6 linked regions of the Bombyx mori genome follow. The protein of the gene in region 5 interacts with the protein of the main gene of each other region in a pairwise test. Links are inferred from orthologs where the notes say so. Each region holds a gene or a part of one and is shown on either strand. Other genes may lie near its edges. The genes, in order: leukocyte receptor cluster member 1 homolog; exosome complex component RRP46; methyltransferase-like protein 17, mitochondrial; bystin; STIP; histone acetyltransferase Tip60.

Evidence for each region.
Region 1: the proteins of STIP (region 5) and leukocyte receptor cluster member 1 homolog interact in binary tests that used the Homo sapiens proteins (3 or more experiments, as listed by UniProt). The link is inferred for Bombyx mori from reciprocal best matches to the Homo sapiens genes TFIP11 and LENG1.
Region 2: the proteins of STIP (region 5) and exosome complex component RRP46 interact in binary tests that used the Homo sapiens proteins (3 or more experiments, as listed by UniProt). The link is inferred for Bombyx mori from reciprocal best matches to the Homo sapiens genes TFIP11 and EXOSC5.
Region 3: the proteins of STIP (region 5) and methyltransferase-like protein 17, mitochondrial interact in binary tests that used the Homo sapiens proteins (3 or more experiments, as listed by UniProt). The link is inferred for Bombyx mori from reciprocal best matches to the Homo sapiens genes TFIP11 and METTL17.
Region 4: the proteins of STIP (region 5) and bystin interact in binary tests that used the Homo sapiens proteins (3 or more experiments, as listed by UniProt). The link is inferred for Bombyx mori from reciprocal best matches to the Homo sapiens genes TFIP11 and BYSL.
Region 6: the proteins of STIP (region 5) and histone acetyltransferase Tip60 interact in binary tests that used the Homo sapiens proteins (3 or more experiments, as listed by UniProt). The link is inferred for Bombyx mori from reciprocal best matches to the Homo sapiens genes TFIP11 and KAT5.

What each region holds. Positions count from the first base shown.
Region 1 is NC_085117.1:11,772,660-11,777,812, forward strand, and holds leukocyte receptor cluster member 1 homolog, read right to left. Parts: upstream 3,446-5,153; 5' UTR 2,675-3,445; coding exon 2,652-2,674; intron 1,825-2,651; coding exon 996-1,824; 3' UTR 657-995; downstream 1-656.
Region 2 is NC_085131.1:1,263,497-1,268,657, reverse strand, and holds the start of exosome complex component RRP46, read right to left. Parts: upstream 3,295-5,161; 5' UTR 3,257-3,294; intron 3,251-3,256; exon of another isoform or gene 3,177-3,250; 5' UTR 3,100-3,176; coding exon 2,997-3,099; intron 2,774-2,996; coding exon 2,647-2,773; intron 2,028-2,646; coding exon 1,919-2,027; intron 1-1,918. Other genes in the region: ribosome quality control complex subunit NEMF homolog, read left to right, coding at 4,917-4,972. UniProt on the Homo sapiens protein: Non-catalytic component of the RNA exosome complex which has 3'->5' exoribonuclease activity and participates in a multitude of cellular RNA processing and degradation events.
Region 3 is NC_085130.1:17,554,012-17,558,260, reverse strand, and holds methyltransferase-like protein 17, mitochondrial, read left to right. Parts: upstream 1-1,798; 5' UTR 1,799-1,883; coding exon 1,884-3,206; 3' UTR 3,207-3,222; downstream 3,223-4,249. Other genes in the region: cytochrome c oxidase assembly factor 4 homolog, mitochondrial, read left to right, coding at 1,073-1,171, 1,533-1,643. UniProt on the Homo sapiens protein: Mitochondrial ribosome (mitoribosome) assembly factor. Binds at the interface of the head and body domains of the mitochondrial small ribosomal subunit (mt-SSU), occluding the mRNA channel and preventing compaction of the head domain towards the body.
Region 4 is NC_085121.1:8,924,094-8,929,294, reverse strand, and holds the start of bystin, read right to left. Parts: upstream 3,534-5,201; 5' UTR 3,358-3,533; coding exon 3,223-3,357; intron 2,623-3,222; coding exon 2,499-2,622; intron 1,929-2,498; coding exon 1,691-1,928; intron 1,619-1,690; coding exon 1,462-1,618; intron 1,303-1,461; coding exon 1,111-1,302; intron 1-1,110. UniProt on the Homo sapiens protein: Required for processing of 20S pre-rRNA precursor and biogenesis of 40S ribosomal subunits. May be required for trophinin-dependent regulation of cell adhesion during implantation of human embryos.
Region 5 is NC_085113.1:9,625,608-9,630,661, reverse strand, and holds the start of STIP (septin and tuftelin interacting protein), read right to left. Parts: upstream 3,410-5,054; 5' UTR 3,358-3,409; coding exon 3,252-3,357; intron 2,393-3,251; coding exon 2,249-2,392; intron 1,717-2,248; coding exon 1,499-1,716; intron 1,078-1,498; coding exon 958-1,077; intron 302-957; coding exon 132-301; intron 1-131. UniProt on the Homo sapiens protein: Involved in pre-mRNA splicing, specifically in spliceosome disassembly during late-stage splicing events. Intron turnover seems to proceed through reactions in two lariat-intron associated complexes termed Intron Large (IL) and Intron Small (IS).
Region 6 is NC_085124.1:9,216,965-9,222,159, reverse strand, and holds the start of histone acetyltransferase Tip60, read right to left. Parts: upstream 3,396-5,195; 5' UTR 3,308-3,395; coding exon 3,263-3,307; intron 3,191-3,262; coding exon 3,064-3,190; intron 2,574-3,063; coding exon 2,421-2,573; intron 1,996-2,420; coding exon 1,861-1,995; intron 1,149-1,860; coding exon 997-1,148; intron 535-996; coding exon 331-534; intron 1-330. UniProt on the Homo sapiens protein: Catalytic subunit of the NuA4 histone acetyltransferase complex, a multiprotein complex involved in transcriptional activation of select genes principally by acetylation of nucleosomal histones H2A and H4.

The sequences.
Region 1 (5,153 bases), on a different chromosome or scaffold from region 5:
AAGCCCGTTTATGAGCTTTGTTTAGGAATTAAAGAGTACATACATACTTTATTTTAGGGTTAAATATACATTTAATGTACTTTATTTTCTACATAAAAAAGTAATCTTTTTTGGTTCCAACTATTGATACTTTCTAAATTAATTTTATTTTCAATATTAAATAAAGAAGAGGAAATGTCATCCACTGTGTTACAGCATTGATCTAGGAAAAATCGTAAAGTGTTTACAGTTTACATCGTATGTGGATCTTGTGGCTCGTCATTTAAATCTTCGTCTATAGACGAATATGATATATAGATATGAATATGATATATAGATATATCATCGCTCTCAGCACCACGGTATATTTATTCTTCTGTTAACGTGTCCTAACGTACAGTGAACCACGTTCATTTAAAATAACTCATGGATATAGGTAAGATTGAAGTTACAAAGGTCGTCGTGGTTACAACTTTGAGTTACGGAGGTACGATTCCCAAATTATTCGTTAAGTTTTAGAGGTTTCGTATTTTAAGTAAAAGAGGTTTTGGACTCCGAGAGGAAGGGAATACAAAATTATATGAATTTATGGAGGTTGTTACGTCATCAAGGCAAGGTTCTACTGTACATTGTCATAAAATATGCACAAGGATGCGTATAGTATAGAAGAAAACTGATTTAAATAACCAAGTCATGCTATATATTTGTGATTAAACATTATCATATATATTTATTTATATTATGGTTATGTGTTGATTGCAATACTTTATTAAATAATATTTTAATTCATGACATTGATTTTAGTTTTGGTTAAACATGCTCAATTGTTTCAAACAGCAAAGACACTTGATACTTAGCACTTTATTACGATAGTGTTAATAACTTTTCTTGGTTCACTCCGAAATTATTATATTAAATTATTGTGTATGTGTAAGTAATTCTAACTTACACCATATTTTGTCTATTTCAATCCAGTTATTAGCAATGGTACAATTTATTTCTCAATATTATGGTTTTCATTTATAATTCTGTCTTGCCAATTCAGGGTTAAACTGAGAATTATATTTAGGAATAATATTCAGTTTATTTTTTCCATTGTTTTCTTCTGTTGAACTTTCACCAAACCCACCTAATTTTTTTAGAAATAATTCTGTTCTACACCTTTCCTGCTGTTCTCTCTTAAGGCGAGCTTCTCTTAGTTTTTGTAGTTTCATTTTTGGGCACTTTTCGTCATTACGATTTTTGTTTTTCTTATGTACCTTTGTATTTGGTTCGTTACTTTGAAGTTTGTAACTTTTGTTTCTTTTTATGTGATTCATGGGATCTAGTCGTTGCTTCTGTTTCCAAGCGAATTCTCCATTTTTAATCTCCACACAATTTGTTTTTGGTTTTCCATCTTCATCTTTCAAAACTAGCTTATTATAGGTATCTTTTATGTCATTGGTGCGTGAATATCTAGAAGCCTCTGGTGGAACATCATACCAATTTTTCTTTTTTAAAGCTTCATTTGTATCTTGTCCAAGATAAGTTAAATAGCCAATTTGTTTTTCATATTCTTCTTGTTTGGCCTTTACCTCTTTATCATGTTCTTTGTTTGTTGTTTTAATAGCATCTTCAAGATTTGCAAATAAGTTGACATGTTCATTTATAATTTCACTTTTTCCTACATTTGTTTGTGGGATTCCTGATTTGAGTAATCTCTCTTTGCTTTTTTGCTTTAGTATATTGAGCCTTGACTCTTTATCTGCAGTTTCTGTTCTTATTCTTTCTTGTTTTTCCTTCTCTGCAGCTTCTGCTTCATCCTTTCTAACCCTTGCAATATTTTCCTTAGTCCGAACATGCCACCTACAGAGTAAAGATAAAGTCAAATAGTGTGGATATAGGGATATAGAACTCTATATTAATAAGTCCCTTGGGCCACTAAGATCAAAATCATTCATATTTTCAAAATAGTTTTAATCATTCATTCTCACATTTTACTAATTAATTATCTATATTATTTTAACTTCATTAAAATTATATTTCCTAATCATATTTTTAAAACGTATAATGTAATAAGCTGTTTATTTACTGGCACAGACTGGAGAGTGAGGACATGGGTCTCCTGGTGTTAAGTGGCTAGCGGAGAGCACAGACATCACAATGTGAGTTTCATTTTGTACTTTCATTCGGGCTCACATATTTATTTTTTACCAGTAAATAGACAAATTATAAGGTTTTGCAGATTTGGTTTTTAATTGCATGATGTTATTTATTTATTCGTAAACACGTGGAAAGTACATCTATTAGAAAAATTGGTACATGCACAGGATTGCTGTAGTTGGGCAGATGAAACGCCTATAGTGTCATATAGAGTTTATGTCTGTTTTGATCAAATTTAACTTTAACTTAAACCCATTTTAGCTTATTTAGACACTAGTGCTTCTTCAGATTTATGTTTTAATAAGCTTTCCTATCGATATAGACCAGTATATCATCCAACACAGTGCTATTAGAATTACTCAATGCATGCATGTCCTCAGTAGTTGGCATACGAGAAGAAAACGAGAAGCTGAGTAAGGTACACAGACGAAGATTGGTAATCTATCCGATCGTAATGTCGCTTGTTCTACTTATAATGACAAGGTTTGAGCAACTAATAATACTCTCTTTGTCGAAATGTTTCAACTTACCTTTTTTTTGGCAAGATATTCATTATTTTCAATTAAACTTTCGAAATTTAGAATAAATTCAGGTTCTAATTTTAATTGAAATCTGTAACTATAGTGTATTTTCTAGGACTGACGCACGTAGTGGCCACCTACACCTACTCTTTTGGACGTTCTGTTCTGTTCAGAGTTCTGTTTACAAAATCAAAATATTGAGTAGGTACGGTACTGTACAGTAACTGTACGTACCATGACATGGGGTAAATTGGGACAAACCTGCTGAAGATTCTCAAAGTACCTGTAGCACGGAATCTACCTAATTTTGTTTATGTTAATATTTATCAATGTATAGAAGAAAAACCAAGTTAACTATGGAAGTACTAAATATGAGTTAAGTTGGTCCCAAGAATTCGTCAAATTAAATTGAAAATAGTGGTTGAAAAGTGCGTTTTAAAACAGCTTACAGAACTTTTAAAAAAAGTAATATTATCGTTGTTTTTTCAATAAGATCACAGTTTATATAAGTTTTTAATACACCTGGAAATACCACAACAAACGGTAAGTTGCAATATTCTTATTTTAAATACAATATTTCGACAAAATAAAAAATGTATAATTTTTCCTTTCTTTTTGGGGAAAATTGGGACGTATGTAGGGTAATTTGGAACGAGACTGGAAAAATTAGGGACGAGAAAACACAAAATTGGAACGCCAAAAGACAAAATAGGGATGGATTGTTAGGGTTGTCACTGATATCTTATAATAGATTTTTTAGCCTATACTATCACTCAATTGCGTGATGTAAAGAAGGTTAATGTGTTTATCAGTTAGTTTATGTAAGTACTATAGGTAAAAGAAAAGTATATATATAATTACATTTTTTCGCGACATTTACCTTGTAATATCTGCCTGGTCGTATGTCCTTTATAGCAATAAAATAAAATTAAAAATTAAAAAGAACTCAAACGAATCAAAACTTTTGTTATTTCAGAATCTATTCAGGCGTCGAATCATGATTTTTTTAACATTCACAACGCACATACAAATAAAAACAGGCCTCAGATTTTAAATGTAACATTAATTAAAAATCTGAGATATCTAGGTTCCAATTATGAGTGAGTGAATTAATTGAGTTTAGTTATTTAGCTTAGAAAGAATTTCTTTTATTTTTGTTATTATAGGCAGTAATCAGATAAATCTGCTTTTTTATCTTATTCACCTGATATCTTACTCTTGCTCAAAGATTATTTTGAAAATGTTGATTAAATAAAATTGTATTATTGCATTTCCAGTCCTTTTGTTTTCTATTTTTTATTCTATTTTATGATTTTGTTTCAGAGTTGTGATTTTTAAGAAATTAAATAATAATTTTCTAAAATATAACATGCACATACTTTTTTTGATCATTGTATTGTTGATTATCATTCACGTCACATCGCTTCGGAATAGAAACCAGCTTAATTTACACTATGTTGTGTATTGTGCTTAAATTATGGATTGTATTCATCATTTCGGTCCATATAAATAATTGTATGGCACCTACCTACCTACCTATATATCGCAGTACCGCGAACTGACAACCCTTACAAATATCCCAATTTAACCCTTACCCGTGTCAATTTACCCCGAATGCGGGGTAAATTGGGATGGCCATTATTTTTCCGATTATTTCTTTAAATTGAATAATTAAAATAATGTAACGGTTTTTATCACCTTTTTTTTTTTTTTTTTTTTTTCGGGCCGGGGGCCGAACCTCCTACGAGGTCCCCGCGCCTAGGGGGCGCGCGGGGTATGTGAGACTCAACGATCTGCAGGTGTTGAGAGCAGATCGCGGGCCCAAGGATTTTAGGGCCCACCCACTAAACGACTTCCCTGCACTCTTACACCCGACGTCCGATCTCCGTCCGGGGTCAGAACCCGTTCAGAGTAGGGGGGTTCCCGCGGTCAACACTACAACCAGACACGCGGCGCCACCCCGAGGACGCCCGACTGACGGGTCGTCGAGGCGATAGTCGACGACCAACGACGTCAGTCTCCGCGGTACGGCGGCCCTACCAGGCCGCCCGGGCGGTGCCGCTGGTGTTCCGGGATACCCCGCTGGGCCAGAACCAGCCTGCCGGGTCGGAACGCGATACACCGCCGACCGGGTTGCTCTTCAACAGTATGTTCGGCGACGACAGCGACGACGAAAATGCGGACCGCATCGCAGTCCGCAGCCGCCGACGCGCCGTCCCGTCCTCCTGGTGCCAGCGCGCTAGAGTGACGGTAGCGTGCGGCGCAGCCTCAACCCCCTTAGGTCGCCCCGTGACCATCACCGGGAGGAGACTGCCTCCTCATAGGGGCTGGAGCTGGACAAACGCCCTCCTCCGGCCCCCGGCCCGACGGCGGCGGCACGGCGCCGAGAGGGAAGAAGAGCTCTCCCTCTCCCGTTCCGCCGCCTCCTTCTGCGAGATGGTGGACTCGCAGAAGTCGAGCATCGCCTGCCAGGACTCGTCGCTGCCGAGCATCGTAGCCACGACGGTCGGA
Region 2 (5,161 bases), on a different chromosome or scaffold from region 5:
AGGCTATAGGCTATATAGCATCACGCTACGACTAATGCAAAGGGAGCACCAATAAAGAATGTATCAAAATCGGGGTTTTTTCCCTTTTGAGAGCTTCCGCTGCGTGCGCTGCAGAAATGGTTAAAGTTTCGCTAAAATAATGTATGACAGAATTGTTCCCCTTTACAAGATCTAAAAAAAAGTCCGCGACAGCATATGTCTATATGTTATGGTTGGCTCACTAGGTATAACGTTTTTTATGCTAACCAAATTTGTTTTAAAATAAAGTACAGGGTGGCCCATAAGTCCTTTGAAAAGTAAAATTTGAATAAAACGAACAGGGCGCGCGTGAGCGGTGCAGGGGAAGCGGGGGGAGTAACTTCGGTTTCTGGGAATTTAGTCGCGATGGAGCGTTTTACCGGAGCGGACCGTGCGTTTTATGTGCGCGAGTTTTATAAAAACGACAATTCGGCAACCGTTGCGCGGCGTAAATTTCGAGAACACAAAGGTTTACACAACTTTGACGACACTCCAACTCTTCAAACGATTAAGAACTGGGTTGCTAAGTTCGAGGAGACCGGTTCGACGTTAGATAAACCGCGGTTGGGTCGCCCAAGGACGTCACGTACGGAACAAAACATAGACACAGTGACACAGTCTATTCGCGAAAATCCGACACAGTCAACTCGTAAGCGCGCCAGAGCATTAAACGTATCCAGGACATCGTTACAACGGATTTTGAAGAAAGATTTACATGCCAGGACGTGGTTTCAACAGGATGGGGCCACTTCTCACACCTCTAACACTGCTATGCCCGTTATCCGTCAACTTTTTCCTGGCAAAGTTATCTCTAAGAGAGGAGACATTTCCTGGCCTCCACGTAGTCGAGATCTGACCCCGATGGATTTTTTTTTGTGGGGCTACCTTAAGGCTAAAGTATACGACACAAACCCGCGGTCGATTGAGGCCCTAAAAGAAAACATCCGCAGAGAAATGACAAGCATTTCAGCAGTGACGTGCCGCGCAGTCATCGACAATTTTAGACGTCGTTTGCAAGAGTGCCGTGTTCGCAACGGATTACATTTAGGAGATGTTATTTTCAAAAAATAATTCCCGTTTTTTAAGCTTTTTATGTAAATAAAAATTTAATTCATAATGTAATTAGTTTTATTTTAATAATTTTTTTTTCATATCAAAGGACTTATGGGCCACCCTGTATTATTCGTGAACTATTCCACGCGGACGAAGTCGCGGGCAAAAGCTAGTACATATATAAATGAATTGCTGTTCGTTAGTCTCGCTAAAGCTCGATAACGGCTGGACCGATTTGGCTAATTTTGGTCTTGAATGATTCGTGGAAGTCCAGAGAAGGTTTGAAAGGTAAATAAATATGAAAATGCTCGGAACTAAATAAAAATAACAATTTTGTTTTTCCTTTGTTGTGTCCCGCGTCGGACGGATTCCTTTTGTTTGTTTTAAGTTTATTTTATACAAAAGTTTAGGTCTTTTATTTATCGATTGAGGCACTACGAAGTCTGCCGGGTCAGCTAGTTAATAATAAATTCACAATTTAATAATACATTGACATTTAATAATAAAAATAATTTGGCCACTATTAAATATGTAGCATATTGAAATCTGGTAACCACTTTACATCGGTTGAGCTCATCAAATGATCTGTGAAATTAACAGAAAACATTATCTATATCAATTAAAACAATTTTCGTTTTTTTTTTTCATTATTTTTGTTTACAAGCCTGAAGCATGTGTAGAAAGCTTGAGAGTGAAGAACTACCCCCACTTAAAAGCAATAGGCAGATCATAACTGCTCCATGCTAGAAGCAGATAGATCATTAATCACCAGTACTTCCAATACCACCAATCTTCATTTTTAGGAACAATTCCAATTCACCCTCGTTAAATACAAATCAGTACTCACACCACCATAATCTTCTAGTTCCTGTATAGTAACATTTATACCAGTTCTAGGATACAGAGAACCAAGTATTGCTGCTTCACATGTCTGTTTCACTATATTCTCTTTGTATCTGTAATAACATGTAATATGATTACAATTCAACAATCGACTGTAACACCTATTTCTTGAAAATATTCCACAATTTAACATCACTTACAGATGTTTCTTTGAGAAACCTTTCATGAAGCATCAACAGAGACTGGTGGAAGACTTATGGGGATCAACCTCAATCACTTTGTTAATGTCTACCCTAACAGAGTCGCAGTGCTTTGCTGAATCTACCATGTCAGAAAAGTGACTCACTTAGAAGATCAAGCAAGAATATCAATAAGTTGTGTATCTGCCATATTGAACTCTGTTGTATCTAGTAATGTTTAAACAATACATTCATTAATGACAACCAAATTTATGTTTTTTGTAGACATATGACCCTCCTAATGGTAAGTGGTTACATTCGCTCACGCCAACGTCAATGTTAGGGGCAAAGCCAAGCAGCTACATGCCATTATGTACTCTCAAAGAAGCCTCGTTTGAAGAAGGACATGTCATAACGCTTGGGAAACACCACAGAGGGTAGTTCATTCCAAAACCGAACGGTGGATTTCATCTATTATTATACAAATGACCACTGACAAGCAAATATTGTTATTAAATTAATTTCCAATAGCCATATAGCTCTAATACATTACCTGTTTTCCACGCTCGGTTTCCCATTCTTATTACTGAACAAAACCTCAAGAGTTGACTTATCTATTCGTTGACTGGTCATCTTTATATCTAAAGGTCCATTTACGCTCACCAATGATACAGTATCCCCTGTAAAAATATTTACAAGCTTTGATGAACGATTTTCTGTCCAAGAAGTTTTAATTAACATTGTTGTACTTTTTAAGACGATGAACTTTGAATGTTCGTAAAATCTTACTGTTCTACTTATTTTTTGTAAAAATACTAAATTATTATTTAACATGTTGTACCTAAATTAAGAGTTTCGGTAAAATGACCACAGCTAGATTATAGGGCATAAAACTGTTTTTACCTTGTGATAAAATAGCTGATCCATCAGATTTGCTCAGGAAGTTGAATTCACATTTCATAGGTTTTAATTTAAAATCCTGTACATCCTTCATATCAGTCACCATATTTAATTCGTTCAAATGTTTAAATATATCTTGAAGTAGTACAATGAAACTTGATTGCTAATTGGGTTTCTGATTTTCTAAAATTCAAAGATGATCTTTATTTATTTTAATAACAAGAAAAATATAGAAAACACATAGACCTATATAGTATATATACCTATATAGGTTTCCTACTTCATTGAGAAAACATGTGAGAATGACATTGACAGTAGTATTCGTTTGTTTTTTACAACCAGAAGGGCAAAGCTATTGAAACATACAGCCTAATCTTTTGTAAATTCTATTTTATGAAGACGATATGAAAATGAAATGAAATTAGGTTGATTAATTTCAAACATTAATTAATTGGAATTAAATTAAAACTAAGACTTATTAAGACTATTTCAGTGGACTGTTTGGAAGATCCCGAGGATCAACGTCCGGTGACTTTGTTTTATTTACCTAAATTTATGCACTTTCCCAGATACTAAACAGTTCATAAACATCCATTAGTACATGTTTAAACATGAAGAAACATTAAATTAACAAAATAAAACTATTCTCACAACTTTGCTACTCGCGTTCCCGCCAAAAAGTCCAAAATAGGAGTACATAATTATCTATTTAGGTACATTGTCCTTAGTCTGAGTTTTTTAAAGTTGAGTTGACACAACGCCCTTATCGGCAAGAGTAGGTTCCAACTCATCATAATCTTTCATCTTTAAAAACTGAATCATTATCCCAATTTAGTACTTTTTTCAGTGTGCTCAATATTTTAAGTTTTTTGAAAAAAAATCTCTATCTTCGAGATCTATATATTAATACGTGAAGCAAAAACTGTGTATCCCTTTTTACGAAAATTGCGCGGAAGGAGGAGTATGAAGTTTTCCACACTTATAGAGAATATAGAGAAGAAGTGCACAATGCTAATCTTTTTTAAAATAATGCATAAAAGATACATTAAATCAATAAAGAAAACATTACACACACTACATACCATGTATTTGACGCACACACGCATGCATATTATTTATTGTTAAACTTTTGTTCTTTTTGTTGTCAAATTGAGAATAGATTAAATATTGTTTGTCTTTGTTAATATTTTTTAAAGTGTAGTCTTGGCGAAATTTGTAAAGAAGTATAAAATACAATCATAATAGTGTACTAGTTTAAATAAATGACTCAACTTAACAAGAACAAACACAGGAGAAGTAGCGTTCTGCAGAAAAGCTTTACTAGCACTCTACGAGTTATTAACTTCCACCAGGAAGCCTGATTTTATTGAAGGGAGCTATGTTATGTGTTTACTGGAACAGTCATTACGAAAATCTTGTATTAGCTATTCAAACTCGCCCGATATTTCTTCCCGAGAAGGGTATTTTCATTTTTTTCTTACAACAAGGACTTAGCAGTAGTACAGATCTAAAGTACAAAGAAGAAACCGTTAAACATACTTGTAAATTACCACCAAAAAAGTTACGTTTATTTAATAGGCTTCATAATATATTCTAAAATTTGTGCACAATATTGTAGTTATTTATTGCTACTAGCTAAGGATAGCTCCTAAAAAAGGATTCCATTTCACTTTTCACGTCACAGAAAAATATGACTAAATTGTAGGTTTGGTGGTCGTTGTCTTTGCCAAAATATTCATAAAATATTAAAAGAACACAGATTCCATATGGCTGTCAAATTAATGTCACAATAAAGTTCGTAAAGCTAGCCGATCTATGGCTGTAATTATAGACACATCATATAATAATAAAATCCTTGTATTCCAATTCCAAAGTTTGGTTTTCTTAATTCCGTTTTTAATAGTGTAATTAACATTACGCAAAATGAAGACGAGATTCAATACATACGATATCATATGCATGATCACAGAACTGCAAAGGTAATTTGATTTAATCATATGATCACAGTTATATTAGTATGTTTAAAAAAATACTGCAATTTCATAATATGTCTAACGCTGTTAATGCAAGAAGATAGCTGTTTATCAAACTTATTTTTGACAAGGGTGCTCCTCAATAATTTTGTCAAAATATACCAATTAAATCATTAGGTGACAGTGGAAAACCCT
Region 3 (4,249 bases), on a different chromosome or scaffold from region 5:
CGGACACTTTCTGCACTTAAAGTTATAGTAAAATAAGGTAAGGTCAGAGAGAGAATATATTTTATTGCACACCAAAACACAATTAACATTTAAAAAAAAACAGTTTTTTTTTAAACCTAAGCTGGTAGCCTAGAGAGGCTATTCCAGCTTAACCGTAACTAGTAGGTGAGCTCACGGGGCTCAAACCTGACGACGATGCTAACACGAACCCTAGCAAGAGTCGTGCTTCGCAGAATCTGCCACCGGATCGGAAACGCGATCCACTGAGAAGATCCGGCGAGAAACTCAGTAGGCTGGTTAAACAATTGTAAAGCAGATACATTTGTACAATAGGCAGTTTTATCGTTAAAAGCGATCTCTTCCAGACAGCCGTTTAATTTACGTAAGGTTAAATAAAGTTTTTCTGATGTTTGTATCTCTTAGCGCACGCAGTAATACTACATTTTTGTTAAAGCATCTGTTATTTTAACTCTAATAATATCTTTTAATTCTTACTGATGATGAACTAGTCATTACTGTTTGTTAAAACTTTAAACGCTGGAAAAACAAATGTTTTTGGTTATGCTTCTAGAAATGGAGAATATGATGAAAACGCTCGTGCAAATCTTGGTTGCTCGTGAGCGTTTCAACCAAGGAACAGGCAGCATTAAAGACTGTAAATAAATAAAATAAATATTATTTATATTCGGCAGCGGCATTTTCTCAATATTATAGCGACAAATTATGATCGTCAACCAACAGATGTTGCTCATGAGTCATATTGTGGGTGATTGTAGACACTATGAGCTGAGTGTTAGTTCATTACGTGAATAATGGATTATTATAATCATTTAACCTTAGCATTTTGTATTGACAAAGCTTTTTGTTACTATGCGTGAAACGGAATACAAGTTATAATGCAACAGAATATAAAAGTAACTTGTAATTATACGCCAACAGCATGATAGTTTCAAATTTCCAATATAATACGTCAACTTCTCAGCTGATTTGTTTTAAGGTTATGTTCTTGTTGTGCTACAGTTAGACCAAAAAGAAATTAATATTGCCACTAAAACGTATTTCATACGAAAATATGACTATAAAACCTCGAGAACAGATCGGCAGTGATGATGATCCCGTGGAAGGCATGCTGAAAAAAACTGGCTGTCTGGAACTACACTATAAAGTGCAGGTTTGTTTTAAAAATGATTCACGTAAGTTAATTTAACTGTATTAAATATAAAAATGCAATACACTGCTAATTTAATATACCGACGTGTTTTGAGTCACATTTGAAAGTTATAATATCTAGGTTTGTTTTTATATTTTACTTGCTGACCCGGCAGACTTCGTAGTGCCTCAATCGATAAATAAAAGACCGACGGGGAACACATTTATCTACATTTTAAACCTTCTCTGGACTTCCACAAATAATTCAAGACTAGCCAAATCGGTTCAGCCGTTCTCGAGTTTTAGCGAGACTAACGAACAGCACTTCATTTTTATATATAGAGATAATTCAAAGTAATTAATGTTTGTTTGAACATTTTTAGGAATGCATCGCCGAAACGAAAGACTGGAGAAAGTGTCAAACCGCAGTTAATAATTTCAGAGATTGTATCAACAAACATAAACAGGAAGAAATAAATAAAAATAAACATTAAATCATGATACGATCGAATAAACATAGTTTTATTTCAATTTATGTACATACTGTTAATTTTATTTTAATTTAATACTTTTTAAAATTAATAGGCAGAAAATCGAAACCTTTTGCTTTAACTTTCAAGAATCGAAAAACATTATGTTTTGACAGTTTGTTGACAGTTACATAGATTATATTTCAGAATGCGTTTTGTTATGGTTTGTTGTGATGATCCGTAAAGTACTTTAAGGTTACAAAAATGTTTCGTAAACTCAAATATTCACATATTTCGTCTTTAAGCGCCAACTACTCAACCAAAGTCTCAATAGATCCAAATTTAAAGGAAAGCTTTGACGCGCAGATCTATAAGCCACGGAAACATCCAGGAACCAATCGTGTAAAAATAGCATCAATACCTGCGGATATTCGGAAGGCAATTAAAATAATCCTAGACGATGCACGAGCTAAATCTTTACATCAGGAGAGCATTAAGCTCAAAAACCATCTGCAGTCTAGGCTACTGCCGCCAGAAGAAAAGGAAATTAATTTGAAAGCCGCGCAAATTCACGACAGCATTTCACAACGGACATTCTCTAAAATAAACAAAGAATTGAGCCAGGAGGAGTTGCAAAACATGAAAAAACAGGTACAGAATACTGTATTTAATATATTAAAAACGAACGTGTACCGTTGGGGTAATATATCGTACGATAAACCTACTAGTCTTCAATATTTGATGACCAGGGCTGCCCCGGAATACGCTGTCTTGGTTCGCGTATTAGATGAGATCAGAAGGGTTTTACCAGATTACAAGCCACGAAGCTTTTTTGACTTTGGTTCCGGCGTCGGAACCGGTACATGGGCACTGAACACATATTGGAAAGGAGAAATTTATGAATATTTTTGTGTCGATACATCGGCTCACATGCACGATTTGGCACGCTTAATTTTGTGTGAAGGCAAGGACAACGTCGAATTACCGTATAAATGTTATTACCAGCGTCAATTTCTACCTGCTTCCACAGATCTGAGGTACAATATAGTTTTGTCCGCGTACTCATTATTTGAACTACCCTCGATGAAATCAAGATTAGAAACAATACAAAAACTATGGAACAAGACCGAAGATTTCCTAATAATCATCGAACACGGAACAAATGCCGGATTCAGAGCTGTAAACGAAGCCAGAGAATTCATTTTGAATCTCCCAAAAGACAGCAGTAATAGAGGTTACGCATTCTCTCCGTGTCCAAACGACAGTGTTTGTCCAAGATACCTCGACCATCAAACTCCATGTAACTTCTTAATGAAGTACGAATCGCTAGGCTACCATTCAAAGTCTGAAGTTTTAGCAGATTTGTACACATATGTTATTTTAAGGAAAGGTGATCGACCAAATGACGATCCACAGTGGCCTAGGATTGTAAGGGCTCCGATTGTCAGGTCCGGACACACGATCTGTCGGATGTGTACAGCACAAGGAGAGTTAAAAGAAATTATATTTTCTAAAGGGAAGCACGATCAGACTATGTACAGATGTGCTAGGTCTGCTAATTGGGGAGATCTTTTACCTATAAAATAAATAATTACAACATAGATTAATGTTTTTAGTTTAATTACAAACACACTAGCTTTGTACACAGTATTAATAAATACTTTACATTATATTATGCATTTATCTGATGCGATGGAAGTCAGAAGGATAAAATCTATACTAATATATAAATCTACAGTGGTTTTTACGGATGTTCCGTTATAACTACTGAACCATGCATCCGATCGACTTGAAACTTGGTATCCATGTAGAAAATACATGTTCTTAATGGATAGGCTAATAGTTATATGAGTGTTGGACTCCCTACACCAGTTGCGGGGGCGTTAATGATGAGAATCTTTGTGGGGGTGAGAAATAATAATGTTAATTTTAAATGCCCAGCGAAGCGGACGGGTACAGCTGGTATTTATACATTTTGCTTGATAATTGACCTTGCAGCAGATAGTACAGAGTGTATTTACCTTTTTTGAAAATCACAGATCATGGGAGGCAGAAGTATTACAGATAGATTGAGATAGATAGAATGAACTGTACATATTATAATGGAAATTGGTATTAAGTTGTTATGGTAGCCCGTAGACACTGAAGCATTACAGCTCTCCCGTAGGCAGGAGTGCCACACTAATCCACGGCAGAAATAAGCAGGAAGGTGTTTTTATGATGTACTGGCTCAAAATATATGTATGACTGTAAGCAGAGAACGTTTTAACGAAAATATTGAATTTAGTACCGTTAATAAATAATAACTGGGAACAAATCGTGTAAATCCGGCCCTAATTTAAGATTTCCTATGTTATTGGTAACACTGACTGTCATACATACATATATATAGATAATCACAAAGAGTAAACAAACCTGTTCATCACACGAATGCTTGTCTGACACGGGAATCGAACCCACGACCCTCGGCGCAAAGTTAGGGAGGCTAATTACTACACCACCGAATCAGCCAAACATAAGTAGTCAATAAGCCCGTGTATATAGGTAGACGAGCATGCAGCCTCGTGGTAGGACCTCTTGTGAGTCCGCGCGGGTAGGTACCACCACGCTGGCTATTTTTGCTGTGAAGC
Region 4 (5,201 bases), on a different chromosome or scaffold from region 5:
ATTAGGCAGGCACTGGAGCATACAGGCAATTCAATGCTTGTGTGCCAGGAATCTTGAAACCTACATTGCCACAACTGCATTGAAATAAAAGCTCAAGCTCAAACTGATTACAAACACAGGCATGATCATATAAAGGGGTGAAAGACTTTTTGGTAACATGAGATCATCATAATCATTGTAATTAAAGATCCGTTTTATTTGGTATTAGCATCAACAATTCAATGTTTTTAATTGAACTTCAATTAAGTTTACTCTAATTCAAATATCTGAAGAACTTTTTTTGTTCGGATTTTTCTTCCAAAATTTAAACTTTGAATGGTACTCCTGCAAAGTTGCAAAAATATCGCTTAAACCAAATATCCTTTCACTCCTCGATATTATTTTCCACTTAATTCACCAAACACAAAGTGCAATCAGTTCCCACAAAGTACAATCTCATAGAAACTTAAACCATACTACAAATACAATCCTGAAACTATTCTAGAAAATTCTACAACAAATCTATACTTTGATAGACCTATTTTGTCAGACTTAACAATATACTGTTATCAACAAGATATTATTACACTAGTAAAAAAACCTAAACTGAAATATTATTTGCAATATCCATTCATGGAATGCACGGTCATAAATAGTTGAATACTTGTCCAAATATGCACAACTGAAATAAGAAGTTGCACAAGCATTTCTGGCTTATCCAAAGAGTAACATTAGTTTCCACAGGATTGGCAACAACAGGAGTGATATCAAATTACAGCTTTATCAATCAATTAACATAATGATCCTACTACCTATCACAAAAGGCAGCAAACCTAAACAATTGCGGATAAGTCAGGAAATTTCTTCAAAATGAACAACAATCAAATGCAATATGAATCACATAATAGGACCATTAAAAATAACAGAAAAAATTACTCAACAAATACCAAGCATACCTTCCTATCAATGGTTGTTTGGCTTGGGCCTAACTATGTGATTGAGATGAGAAGACAAGAGAATAAAAATAAAAGTTATTTGTTTAAAATTTTGATTGTGACTCACTCCTTTACAGTGTGTTGTACAAAACACATCACTTTTATATTAATTTTAATCCCAAACTTGGCATCTTACCTCACATAACGGTAGTAAAATTCCCTTCATAAAAGCACCAGGTTTGAACAAGGCCTTCCTCAATGCTTGGTACAAGTGGAAATTCAACCTTTTGTATTCAGCAAGGTCATCTCTGACACGTGGTAGTAAAACTAAATTATAAAACCTCTGAGCCATCTTCTCCTTAAGATTTGATGCAAAAATTCTAGTTGCCTGCAAACCAATAATCATAATGAATAATGTGATAACATTAAATAAAGCCTTCAATTCTGATTAAAGCTATGATTTTCCGAATATCATTCATTAACGCCAGACATTTAAGTATTATTCAACTACTAAATTTATTGTTATTAGTATTTTCTTATTGTTAACCTGATACATAGCAGCTGCTGACCAAGTAGTAGGCTCTGTTAAGTATAAAATTTGCTCCCAATTCTGCAAATGTGGCACCATTTTGAAAGCTTTCGGTAATTTGCCTGATCTATATTTCTGGAGTACATCCCTTACGCCCTCATACATGGTTTTTATTCTGAAATTCAAAATTTATATACAAAGATTGTAATACTTCATTTTGATCAAAAATTTTATCAATCTCACTTACCTTGGATCAATATTCTGCAATTTTAAAGTTTCTGCATCTGAGAACTGAGTCTGTAGTTCTGTGTGTTTGTCAGTAATTTTTTCTTTTATAATATCAGCTAGAGTTCTAACTCTTTCTGTTTTAGATGATTTGAACAATTTGAGTGCTTCTTCATCTGCTTCGTTGATTTCAATGTTATCATAGTATGTGTCAGGTTCCAAGTCATCCTTCTCTGAATCTGAACTATCTGATCCTTTATCTAACAAATAATATCTTTAGTTATTTTTCAACAAGTGGAATTACTAACTATCAAATCTAAATTGCAGTTGAAAATAATTTCAGTTCATTCACAAGGTACATTTGAGAAATTAATTGCATTATAACAAAAATGACTGTTCACTATTTGTTTACTTCTACTGTACATGTACACTGTCATAGAATGTTTTACACACGTCCTTACGGATCCATCAGATCCAATAACCTTAGCATTAGATGCCTTCAGCTCTAACACTAGGAACAGGCTAAGCGACCCTGGTAACTGTACTCGTCAAATTCAACAAAGAAGTCGACGTCCAACCTAAGCCATGCATCAGCCTGCTGAGTTTCTCGCCGGATCTTCTCAGCGGGTCGCGATTCCAATCCGGTTGTAGATTCATTCGCGAAGCAGTTGCTCTTGAGTTGTTAGGTCTCCTTTGGAGGGGCTTGGGCAGCTGTTAGCAAATCCCACCCCTCCTGGTTGAGCCTTTGCTCACCCACCTGTCCTGGTGAAACTGGAAAGGCCTCCAGGCCACCAGTAATTCTATCAACATAAAAAAAAAGAATGTTTTACCTTTAAAGCTTGACACAAGAGTGACATGTTTTGCTGGAGACGGACCAATCTCATTGTCTTCTAGTTCAGCTTGTTGCCTTCTAGCAGTTTTTAAAATTTTTTTAGACAAATCTGCTTTTACAAACTGAAAAAATATATAAAATCGATTATTGTGGACATTATCTGCCATCTGCACGTTGCCCGCAGAGGTGTAGACAACTTGGAACGTCTGATGGTCACTGGGAAAGTAGAAGGAAAACGTCCTAGAGGCCGGAGCCCCAAACGTTGGTCCAACCAGATCTCCGAGCAAACCAGCGGACCACTTAGCGCTGCACTACACCAGGCAACTGACCGGAACCGATGGAGGCTAACAGTAGACAAGCTAAAACGGAGTCACGATCCTCAGCAATGAGGGAGCGATGGAGAAGAAGAAGAAGAAGAATCTGCCATCTGCCTATTTTTGATTCCTAATGCCTACATTACCACCCGGCCTATTTCTGCCGTGAAGCAGTAATGCGTTTTGATTGAAGGGCAGGGCAGCCTTTGTACTGTTAAAAGTGAGACCTTAAAGCTCATGTCTCAAGGTGAGTGGCGGCATTTACGTTGTGTCTATGGGCTCCGGTAACCACTTAACACCAGGCGGGCAGTGACATGTCCAACAATCTAAGCAATAACAAAATAAATAAATAAAACATTATACTTAAATAGATTACAGAAATAATTTAAAGTAGTATGCATAATTTACCTCATCGTCTTCATCGTGCCTATTTCTATCTTTGGTCCTATTTTTAATTTTGACTGAATTTCCAGATTCAATTTGATCAGCAAGAGCTAAATTTTTTCCCACTTGTGAGGGCTTCAACTTTTTAACTTTACCCATATTAGTTTCAACTAAATGGTCAGTAAGGAAACTTTTAACAAACACCACAGTTTTCTTAATACTACATACAAAAACCGTTCCTGCGGAACATAAATTGTAAACGTTATCAAAGATTTACCATGTGCTGTTGTTTTTTTAGTTAGAAAATGTCATAAATTTTTGCAGCTGTAATGACATTGTCAATGTCTTCGAGTTAAGGGAACATAGCCTATACAACCTACATAGCCTAGACAGCCTAATCTTTTGTTTGTCACTAATTTTACTGAGGATTATATAAAATCCACGGCTTTATATTGAAAGTTTTACATTACTGAAAATTTTGAAAAACTATGATTTAAATTTAAAGCATAAAAGACAAAAAACTAACCATAAAGTTAGAAAATAATGGCGGGCGTCCAAAATACCTACAGAGATACTATGATCATCTATAAATTACTATACCTAAAAAAACCTAATAATACACGCTGTAGCCAAATAAAAAATTCATACATACGTTTTTTGAAGTTATACTTCTTTAGGCGCGCGCACCGTGACACAAAATTAACAGAATGAAGTTGCTCACTAAATCGCTCACTACAATACGACTGACGTAGCTATTAATAAAATAAAATAATAATCATAAAAATAAAGTATAACTTCTTACGCGCGTACATAAGTACACGCACCCCTTTTTTTTAATACGCTTTTATTAGCTTCAGACGTTACATACGTCTGAAGCTAATAAAAGATAGTTTGTAACGGAATCTTTGAACATGATTTTGACCCCCTTCAAAACGTCGGATTAACTTGAAATTTGATATACCGAAAAATGGGGTTATTGGGGTTTGAGAGGTGAATGGGGAAAAGCAGGAAAATCTTTCGACGCTCAATATTAGTTTTTTAATCGTTGCAAAATCTTCCATTTTTTGTAGTGTAATAAAAGTTCACAAAACAACTCTGAATATGCATGATAATAGCTGCTATCTTATTCTTCTTGTTGTGGTAATTATTTTAGTGCTAGACTTTACTCTCTTTTATTTATTTGATAATAATAAAAGACAACTGTGATTTATAAACGTTATTTAGTGTTTGAACCATCATATTGTATTAAAAGTAAGTCTCAACTGTTATTGGTTTTAATGTTTTTTGATAATATAAAAAAACATGTAAAAATCTGTTGTTTTTGGGGACGTCTGAGGTACAAATAACAACGAGATGGGCAATTGGGATGAGAATAAGTTAAATGGGAACGACCTAAGTATAAATAGGTACAGGCGTGTAGGGTTGTCTATGTAGTTATAACAATATTTTTTAAATGTTGGTAAGAATCTGGTTTATTCATGATGTTTTTGTCTAGAACTTTTATTCAAAATTATCAATGCAGTGTTATTTTATTGTTTGGCAAATCAGTTACGTATTGTTTTCTATTTTTAAATATGCCTCGCGTGTACGTATAAAAAAGTGCAAAGCCTTATAAGATAAATGATCCCTTAATATTAAAAACAGCATTATAAGCCTATGAAATTGGGAATAAGTCTTTGGTTGAAATAGCTAAGCAATTTAACATAAGTAACTCGGCTTTGCACAGACATGTAACAAGAACAATGAAATCTCAAAGTGGAGAAAAATGTCGAAGTAATACATAATAAAATATATTAATATTTGTCATAGTGGGGGTCCACCTGATTAATCCATGGAATAACCTAATCTCTTAACCCAGATAAAAATATCAGCCCCTAAGTACTTACCAAGAACGAAGTAATATAAACCGTTTATAAGAAAGCCCGCCCGCTCGAATTTAGACCAGGTGCTTACTCTCCCTTAAACAGAATCATTTGGGACTACATTCATGTGCACGGTAGCGC
Region 5 (5,054 bases):
TGCCCCACCCTTCAAACCGAAACGCATTACTGCTTCACGGTTGAAATAGACAGGGTGGTGGTACCTACCCGTGCGGACTCACAAAGGTCCTACCACCAGTAAAATATTCTCCAATCGTACTTCTATCATACCTTGCTATGGTATACGTTGTCGGTTTACCCTCCTGAATGACGTCAGCGGCATCTCTGTAAAAATAACGACCCTTGTGCGATTTCTTCCAGTTGTAATTCTTTTCGGTTTTATCTTTATCCTGATCTTCTTTATCTTTGATGCGACGTTCCTCTTCTTTTTTGGCTTTTATCTGTATTAAAGAAAAAGAGACATACGAATTGAGAAGTGAAGACTTTTTTTTTCCTACCTAAGCTGATGGATCTAGAGAGACCATGTTAGCTCACGGGACTCAAACCTGACGATGTTACTAACATGAACCCTAGCAAGAGCAGCGCTTTGCAGAATCTACCACCGGATCGGAAACGCGACCCACTGAGAAGATCCAGCGAGAAACTCAGCGGGCTGTCTGTGGGTTAATTTACTCGCTCAGCTCTTAGTCGCAAGCGACGGGTTCGACAAGGACGGTGACCGGTGCTTGTGGTACCTAAAAGCACCGTTAATGGGTTTTTTTTCTTCTATATGCTAAATACCAGTGATTAATAATTTTGGCACCGCCCTAATATAGACTACGGGGCAGTCAACGGATGCTCTCAGTGGATCGCGTTTCCGATCCGGTGGTAGATTCTGCGAAGCACTGGCACTGCTCTTGCTAGGCCCAGTGTTAGCAACACTCCGGTTTGAGCCCCGTGAGCTCATCTACACGTTAGGGTGAAGCTGAAATAGCCTCTCAAGCCTATCAGCATAGGTAGGAAAAAAAATTGCAAGTTTTAAGTTGCGATCCGTACAACTGCAAATACATTTTTTTTGTATTCATTAAACTCTAATGACGTGCATTGTGAAACTCACCGTTGCCTTTTCTGGTCCGTAAGCTCCGATCGCACCTCTGCCTTTGCGCAGCGTAGCCTCGACCGGCGCTGAGATACCTTGCAAATCTTTACCCAAACCTTTACCCGGTTGGTATCCCATCTGTAAGAAAGAAATTATATTAATCAAAACTCACGTATTTCCAAAAATGTGGAACGTTTATTAAATTAATGAATTATAAAAATTCGTAAGAGTGAGAAGGCTAGATGCAAATGAGGGCTAAGAACTAATTATATAAATTATCGGCCGCTTCCTGCTGGGCGTAGTTGAAATAGCCCCTTAGGCTGGGTTTACGGCATTGTTCTGCACGTTTATTTGCAGTATACGTCTTAACGAATGAATAGCGGCACATACGTTGTATATAGAACCATTCGAATGTCGTTTGTACTGCAAAAAATCGTATACCGCTTATGCGTTTTAACGAATACTCAACGGACTTGTCAAACAATACGAATGAACTTTAACGTTGCAGTGGCTTATAGCTCATTCATTCAGGATCAAAGAGCAATAGCTAATTAATTACCTGCAACAACAATTTTGCTCCGATTCCTTTAGTATGTTTTTCCCAATTTCCCACATTTCCACCTAATGATGGTGGACGCATTCCCTGTCCCTGTCTCCTGATTCCCGCCGTGTCACTCGCTACTGGAACCTCTGGTTCCTCATCAGAACTGTCTGAGTACTTAGGAGCAGAAGTAGACGCTTCAGCTGGTTTTATTTCTGTCAAATTATTAAAAATTACTTTTGTTGACATGAACTGATTCCACGACATGCATTTTTTTAGTATTGAAAATCACATAACATTAAAGAATGGTGGAGCCTTCAGTTTATGCTTCAATCATGAAGCAATGGAACAGCCAAGTCAAGTCGGAAGGTACCTTTTTGGCATTTTTTTTATTGCCCCTGTGGGCTAATGAGCATACGGCCCACCTGATGGTGAGTGGTTACCATCACCCATAGATTTCAGCAATGCCAAGGGCAGGACAAAACCGCTGCCTACTGTTAAGTACTCTCCAGAAGCCTTGTTTGAAGAAGGACATGTCATAGCGCTCAGGAAACAACGTGGAGGGTAGTCAGTATTGTACAACTGGAATAAAAATGTTGTCTCATATTTTTTGTATAGTTACAGTGTGGTCACTGATAACTTGGTTATAAAAGTGATTTTATTTATGTCTACGGTTCATGAAGACTGATAAAATACCATACTTAAATCACTTTAAATGACTTTATTAAGTTTTCAAATTGAAAAATTAAGTGAATATGTATTTGTTACCTTTAGTCTTGTCTTTTTTTTTGCCAGCCTGTTGAACTCCACCCGCCACGAAACCAATTGGTGCAGAAAAATCTTTAGGTTTACGTATTCTCTGTCTAACATTATCTTCATTTTCATCATCATCACTGTCTTTGGCCCATACACCTATAAGTTAATTATATTATTGCTTTTGTTACAATTAGCTATTCTCATTTAAAACAATGCATGAAAGCTTCATAGATTTTTAATTAATTTTTTTTCTAATTTTAATCAAGTCAATAAGATATTTGTGGTGTAAATGAACTCTCAGTCGTCATAATCCCAGAAACATTTAGACATTGGAACATATGAGTTTAAATGGTTAATTGAACACGTTATTAGATTTCATACTTATAAACAACTAACACATTTTCCCTCCCTGATCGCTGGTATCCTAAGGGGCTATTTTAGCTACGCTTTGATGGTTTTAAAATAAGAATGTTTACTGTTTTAAGTATGTTTTAGATGTGAGACTTAATTATGGAAGTGCTTATCAAACAAAAACTAGAAACTATATCATAAGTGATCTGCTTAGAATATTTTATAATGCTATCTTCTTTCAAGTGAGAGATCAAAACAGCTGCCTACTTGTTTCTTAAATTAGTTAAATTTTTTCATGCACAATATCAAATTTTTATTCAAACTCATGCACACATTCATGATAAAACAGTAATTTACTAGTTTATTATAATAAACTATAATGATCATGGTATATTTTGTTTATTATCATGGGCGGACAGAGCATGTTTCTTGAAATTACATACAAATCTAATGGGAATTATTTACGGAATTGAAAAAAATTTGGTACGTTGAAGCTCTACCATTTGATGCTTTATAAAATACGAAACTTATAATAACTCATTTTATAAACTTTAGAATTTTTATAATTATCATAGCTATCACACAACAATGTTTTGAATGTAGTGGCACCACCTAGAATATTCTGGAGTTTTAATTAGATTGTTTGTATTTAAACGTAACTTACCGTATATTTGTTGTTCCTTGTTAGCTTTTCTTCCACGGCCGGGGTTGAATTCATTATCCAAATCGTAGTCTGTGATCTCAAACTTTATAACCTCATCGTCTGACATTTTACTGTTACGTATAAATTAAGCTTAACCAAAATAACTCATCATTAATTACGCTGTTACAAATAAAAATCGTAACTGACTGATTTGCTGGTTATAAATATTGTTAATTATTTTGTTTGGTTATAAACAACTTTATGGTGACACTTGACAGTCTTGACACTAATGATTAGCTTAGCATTTTTAGAGATGTTGAATTAGAACTGTGGTTAATTTTCATAGCTTAGTCGATTTTATCGTACTGAATTTTTTTAAGCTTATTTCTTTTTGTTTAAACACCAACTATAAGTTCACAGGTGACTTTTAAGAGGAGTCACAACAAAAAGAAAGATCAATTAATCCCGAAAATCTTCAAAAATTTTTAATTACAGATGACATAGGATCCTTTAAACCGATCATCTTGGCTATTTCTACCGCAAATCAATGATATATTTTGAACAGACCATAGAGTAAGATTATATATAACCTAAGAACAGATACACTACATTTTGAAAGATACACAAGTCGGGTAGAATTACTGGTTGGTTCAACTCAAACCACCCCATCAGTAGTCAAACATCAACAACTAATGCTAACAAGGCGACCAAATCCAAGCGAAAGCAGGTAAATTGCGGTCTGGTACTTTATTATTCCAACTCTTAGAGCTTAAGCACACAGCGTATTTTTTATGAGCAGAGGACGCGCAGATGACTCGCGTATACGCACTTCGAGATTCGAACGCAACCTTGTAACCTAAGCACACGGGGCCATTGTGAAACGCGCTTCCACTGCACAAATACGCGCAACCATATAAACGTGCTATAGTCGCTCGTAGCTTCCGTGTGTTAATCAGAGATTCCCTGAATCCAGTTGAACAATGGAGTCGGTTGAGACATTGCCTACGTTGTATTTGGTAATACTTTTAAGAAAAAATAGGCGAATCTGGAAATGGAATTGGATTGGCTCCTCCTACTCCCTTTTGAACGTGCATTTGTATTGTGTCAAAGGCGCGTAAACGAGCTTCATACGTACGTTTGTACTATTAGTGCAAACGCAACAAACAGCATCTACGGCGCGGCGCCGAAAACGCGCGTTCTAAAGCGCGCATCGTCTGCGCCTTCAAAATACACTGTATGATTAGGGCCTTAAATAAAACAATGTTACCACTGTTGACAATAATTTATTTCCTAAATTTCCAATTCAGGTATAAAACGTTACAAATTACAATTGTGCTTCACAGTCCCATTTATTTAGAATAATTTTGTGCCTTTGCCAATTTTACTTATTTTAACAAAACTAAAATTCACGTTGTTTTAATTACATTAAAATTCATAACCATGATAGAAATTATCGAAGTCAATTTTTAGTTAGCCAATCGACATGTATAATGATGTCTTAATAATTTTCAATTACATTAAAGGACGAATAAGTTACAGGAGTTATTTACTTACGTATTATATATTAGGACGGAAAAGGACGTATCCATTTTCATTAGGACATGTGATAGCACTTCATAATAAGAGTTTCACCATTTGCAGTAAAATCTGTTAAAATATCCACCAGCATCAATGCTGGCCTATATGATATCTACACCTTAAAACGCCCTGAATGTGAAGTTTTGGAGGCGAATAATCCGCCAGCTTAGCACTAAATTTATTTAAAAATTTTGTTGTTATGTCGGGTAAACATCAATTATATATAATATACATTTTTATATAAAT
Region 6 (5,195 bases), on a different chromosome or scaffold from region 5:
AGCGATAGGCAGCGGCTCGGCTCTGCCCCTGGCATTGCTGAAGTCCATGGGCGACGGTAACCACTCACCATCATGTGGGCCGTGTGCTCGTCTGCCTACAAGGGCAATAAAAAAAAAAAACTATGCATTTAAATATGTGAAGTGCTAAAAAAGGTTGAAAGCCGCTGCTCTAGTCCAACAGACAATTACGGCACACCTGGTCTTCTTGAAGCCCACAGAGGTCAACAGTGAAAAACAGACTTCTCTATAAAATGCATAATATTTAAAACCGATAGCGATTAATTAACAAATATTTAAAGCCGATAGCGATTAATTAACAATGCATTTCACCTGGGGGTATGGCGCGAAGTACCAAGGTCGTATCCTGTGCCGTCCCAGTTCTATCATCTCGATGTTCTTCATCCGCGTGACGAGATCGTCGTGTCCGTGCGCGACCAGACTGCCGGACTGTCGCGGGCGCGCCGTCGGCGTCGCCGTGCCGCTGGCCGTCGCGTCCGCTTCACCTTCTTGTGACGGCTCCGAATGTAAACTGACCTATATGAGACAAACATTACCTCTGATAGTGTCGTGGCGTGCAACCTCTTTGACAGGACATAAGACCTACAACGACTAGACATAGACAAAGAAGTCGTCGTGGCCTAAAGGTTATAAGACGTCCGGTGCATTCGTGTTGAGCGATGCACCTGTGTTCGAATCCCGCAGGCGGGTACCAATTTTTCTGATGATAATTCGTACTCAACAAATGTTCACGATTGACTTCCACGATGGAGGAATAACATCGTGTAATAAAAGTGAAACCCGCAAAATTATAATTTGTAGGGTGGTGCAGCCATTGTAACTATACTGAGATCTTAGAACTTATATTTCAAGGTGGGTGGCGCATTTACGTTGTAGATGTCTATTGGCTTCAGTAACCACTTAACACCAGGTGGGCTGTGAGCTCGTCCACCCATCTAAGCAATAAATAAATAAAAAATATTAATATTGATATTTTACGTCATTATCCAAAGAGGGCGGTTTGCGTTTTCTGTTCATCTTTTTCTGTAAGGCTGCTGCGAGGACAGCTCCTCCATTGACCAGTGACGAAGAATCATTTACCAGAGTCGGACTGGCGGGTCGGGACACCAACTGTCTTGGTTCAACCACAGCTGTGCAGAAAACCGGGAATGTAGTATTTTAAATTAAGAGTGATTTGACACAATACTGCAGCATTTCACATTAATAGGGCTTCACGTCAATAGAATTACAATATTTCTTTCAATAAATAAACGCCAAAATTAAACAATTGCTTCATTATAATTGCTATTTTTAAAGTATAATCTGTCGTTTTTTACTGTAGTTATGAATAATTTACTGTTTTCTATGTCACGGATGACTCGTCATACACAGTTAAGACATTAAGGTATAAAAGTAGCCTTAATTATATTTACGACTGGCGAAAACCGAAGAAAATACTAAATTGCTTAGTTGTCACATTAATTGGTAATAATTACTAACATGATCATTATATGTTAATCAAATATTACCATGACAGAAAATATTCATATTCAATATATGGACTATGGTATTACTGGTTCTCACAACTGAGCTTCAAACGTGCTTATAAGGGAACAAGAAACTATTATTATTTCTAAGCTTACAACTTGATGGCTACTAAGCTGTTGACATGTTGAATAATATGTTGGTAACTAAACAATCATTTGGAATAACATCAATGATGCTCACATTATACATACCAGTAGCTACTACTGCTACTGTTTAAAAGTACAAAAAATAAATTTATTGTTTTAAGAATAAAAGCATGACATATCTACCTAAATAAAAGCATATTACACAAAATAAATTATTATGGTACATTACCAAGTGCATTTTTTTGTGCGGAACCATTGAGTGCATTGCTAAAATGGGCCTTTTCATGTGTTTTGGGTTGGGTCAGTTGATTTGTTATAGTTCTAGCATTACTAGACTTCTGATTCTCATTGCAGACTGTGTCATCTGCAGACAAAATTTTGTTTTTATTGCCAATTGGTTGATCATGGATGTTTGGTAACACAAACTAACCTACACTTGGCACGAGACATTGTACTGGGCAAAACAAAGAATCATACAGTAACAAAATAAAAGTACAAATATATTCTACTATATTAATTATAGCATTCAAGACAACATCAACTAAAGCTAGAATTATAACACATTAAAGTTTGGACTCTATTTGTTTTACTGCTTTTATCCAGTCCAACATGAACTGTCGGGTGGAGGAAAAATAGCAAGTAATAGTAGAGAGTAATAGTAGAGTAATATAAATCATGCAATTTATTACCAAATCCCATTCTTTATCTGTGAAGTTGAACTTTGAATTGTTTAAAATTAAGTGAAATGACCATAACAATTAATTAAGCTCTAAAAACAAAGACACATACTAATAAAAGTAGGCATAACGCCACCTCCTGATCCAATGAGTGTTTTCTTTGGAGTAGTTGTACCACCTGTTGCTGTTCCATCCCGTCGAGGGAATTGGACTTTACGAGTGTCCAACCAAGATTCACCCACCCATTCATCGAGACGTTTATTAACTGAAAAATTTTTTATGTTTAAGTCTAATTTCAAAAAAATTAAGCACTTCATGAAAAACAGGAGAAAATCTTTTTATTCTGTTAGTACATACGTATGCAAGCTTACAAGACACCCTATCACAAGTGTTCTTTGCTTTTTCTGCTACTAAATTGGATTTTAGTCCATTTACCACCCTTTGGTTTTTTAAATTAAGATCTCAATTAGACATGTGCCTTTGTAGAACATTTTTAAGTATCCTTTAAGTTCAATCTACTAGATTGTTTATCAATTACACATATGATAACAAGCTCACATTAGTTATAAATTTATAAAATGTCTCAACATAGGTAAGTAGCTTTATTTTAGAAATTTCCCATATATATAACAAAACTAAAGCTTATAGATATAGGTAATTAGCTGCTAATCTAGCATCACAGTCAATTTCTTATCAATGTTACACACAATTTTTCCAAAATGAATAACAAACATACCCGTTCATTATTTACTCACAATCAACATAATGCACGTAAAATCCTCTTTGGCCCTGAACTTCTTTAATACTTATAATTTCGGCGAGTGGCCAGTCGTCTCCTCCTTGCATACGAACAGGAAGACGGCATCCCTCAACAAGCGATGACTAAAACAAAAAGATGATAAATTAATCTCACGGTATTATATCACATATATATTCTAAATAAGCGGAAATCACCGTTGAATCACAAAATGTTGTCAATTCATCATCATTTTCGTTCATTTTAAAATAATAATATTATTTTTTCACAAAAATAGCTATTTGCTTTGAATGCTTAGCTGTCATTGCTGTCAATATCAAAGTAATCAGATTGCAGTCAATCTGACATTAAATAGGCAAAGGGAATATTATTCATAAGTGATTAGTCTAGTAGGTAACGAAAATTGAAATGTAATAAATATTGAGAGTTCAAGCGTCTACCGATTATGTATTATTTAGCGCTTACGTAAATCTGCAGATACCAATCATTGATATGTTTTTTTAGCTATTTCGTAATGCATATATGGGCGAATGTGCTCGTGAGTCACAGCTTACCTTGTCTCAAATAGTTACCGGAACACAAATATATAATAGCAATGTAAAAAGTGTAATGGAACGAAATGAAATTATATCAATTCACTAATTCCTTACTTTGCTTTGGATCATTTGTATCGCATTCGGCTCAAAAGGTTGAACTACTCATTGTGTAAAAGAAGTGATTCTGTTTTGCTGGTTTTGACCTAGCGGAGTATCTCGGGAGTATTAACGGCCCTATCCAAGCGGGAGGGATTAGAGAACCGCTGGTCGTCTTGACAAACGTCAAACTGATGAGCCGTGATGTGAGGCACCGAGAAGAGATGCGCCGTTGGGTTGTTGAGTAAAAGCAGGTTTTGTTAATTTCCTCGTGCGCTAAAACTGGATTACATGATTTTTTGAGAATCAAATCTTATTTGATTCTCAAAAAATCTTAATACACACGAATAAGATAGAAATTAAGCCATAGAGTAATGGAACCCTTCAATCGCGTGATCGAAGATCAGAGTGTCTCGAATGGCTTATAGATGTTGTCATTGGCGACATGGGCACGTGGAGAAAGTCTAGGCTTTCTACTAGGCAGTATTAAAACCCTAATAATTTTGTCTAGCAGTCTGTGGTGAACCCCGCTAGAGGAAATAATTACATTTGTAAACTTTTCGCGGGTTCCATTTAATTTTTTACACGTTGTCATTCTTTTAACGCAGAAGTTGCTTATGAACATGTGTTAGAAGCAAATTTTATTTTATTTTGTTCTGAAGATGTTGTCGAGAGCAACTTTGGATAAGTTATAGATAGACTTTTCGCTCCATTAACTCCTCGCTCCATAGACACCAATAACAAAAATCGTTTTTTTATGTTTGAGAAATAGCTGTTGGAAGTCTATCCAGTTTCACCAGGACACGTGGGCGAGCAAAGGTTCAGCCAGGAGAGGTGGGAATAAGCACGTTTAGCTGGGCTGTGAGCCGTAGCCCGTGGATTGGGTAGCCCTGTCGAGATCGTAGGCTAACTCAGTTAACTTCAAAGGAAAAACTAACCTTGTTTTATACACATTATTATTTAACGTGTTCTTACCAAGAATGAACATTTACCTAATGAGTTCCCGATAGGTATGTCCTGTTGCAAGCGCCTTGATCACGAGTAGACTGAAGACTGCGGGTAAAATGTTAGGAGCAGAACTGTCCACATTCTTTATAGTCTGTGTTTGGATCTACTGGAACTCAATGATCACCCTGACCAAATACCTTCATAACCACATGTACCGAGCGATAAATCCTTTAGACGATGAACTCAAAACTTTCATTTCATGTGAATCAAACACTTGAAAAATAAGTACCAGCTCAGTATCAGACTACTCTATTTTCTCTCTGTTACAGAGACAAATAATGATAGCCCGTAAATTCATATTCATTTAACTGCCTATGCTATCAGTTGACAGCATTTCATTGAATTGTAGGATGAAGTCTGTGGAGAAGGATACTGTCGATTCTTGTTGAGCTTTAGAAAAATGGCTTTGTTGCTCCATCCAAATGCTACTTTACAATGTAATATCTATGTATGTATTTTGCAGTCACGAAATTAGGCAATAACGTTGTAC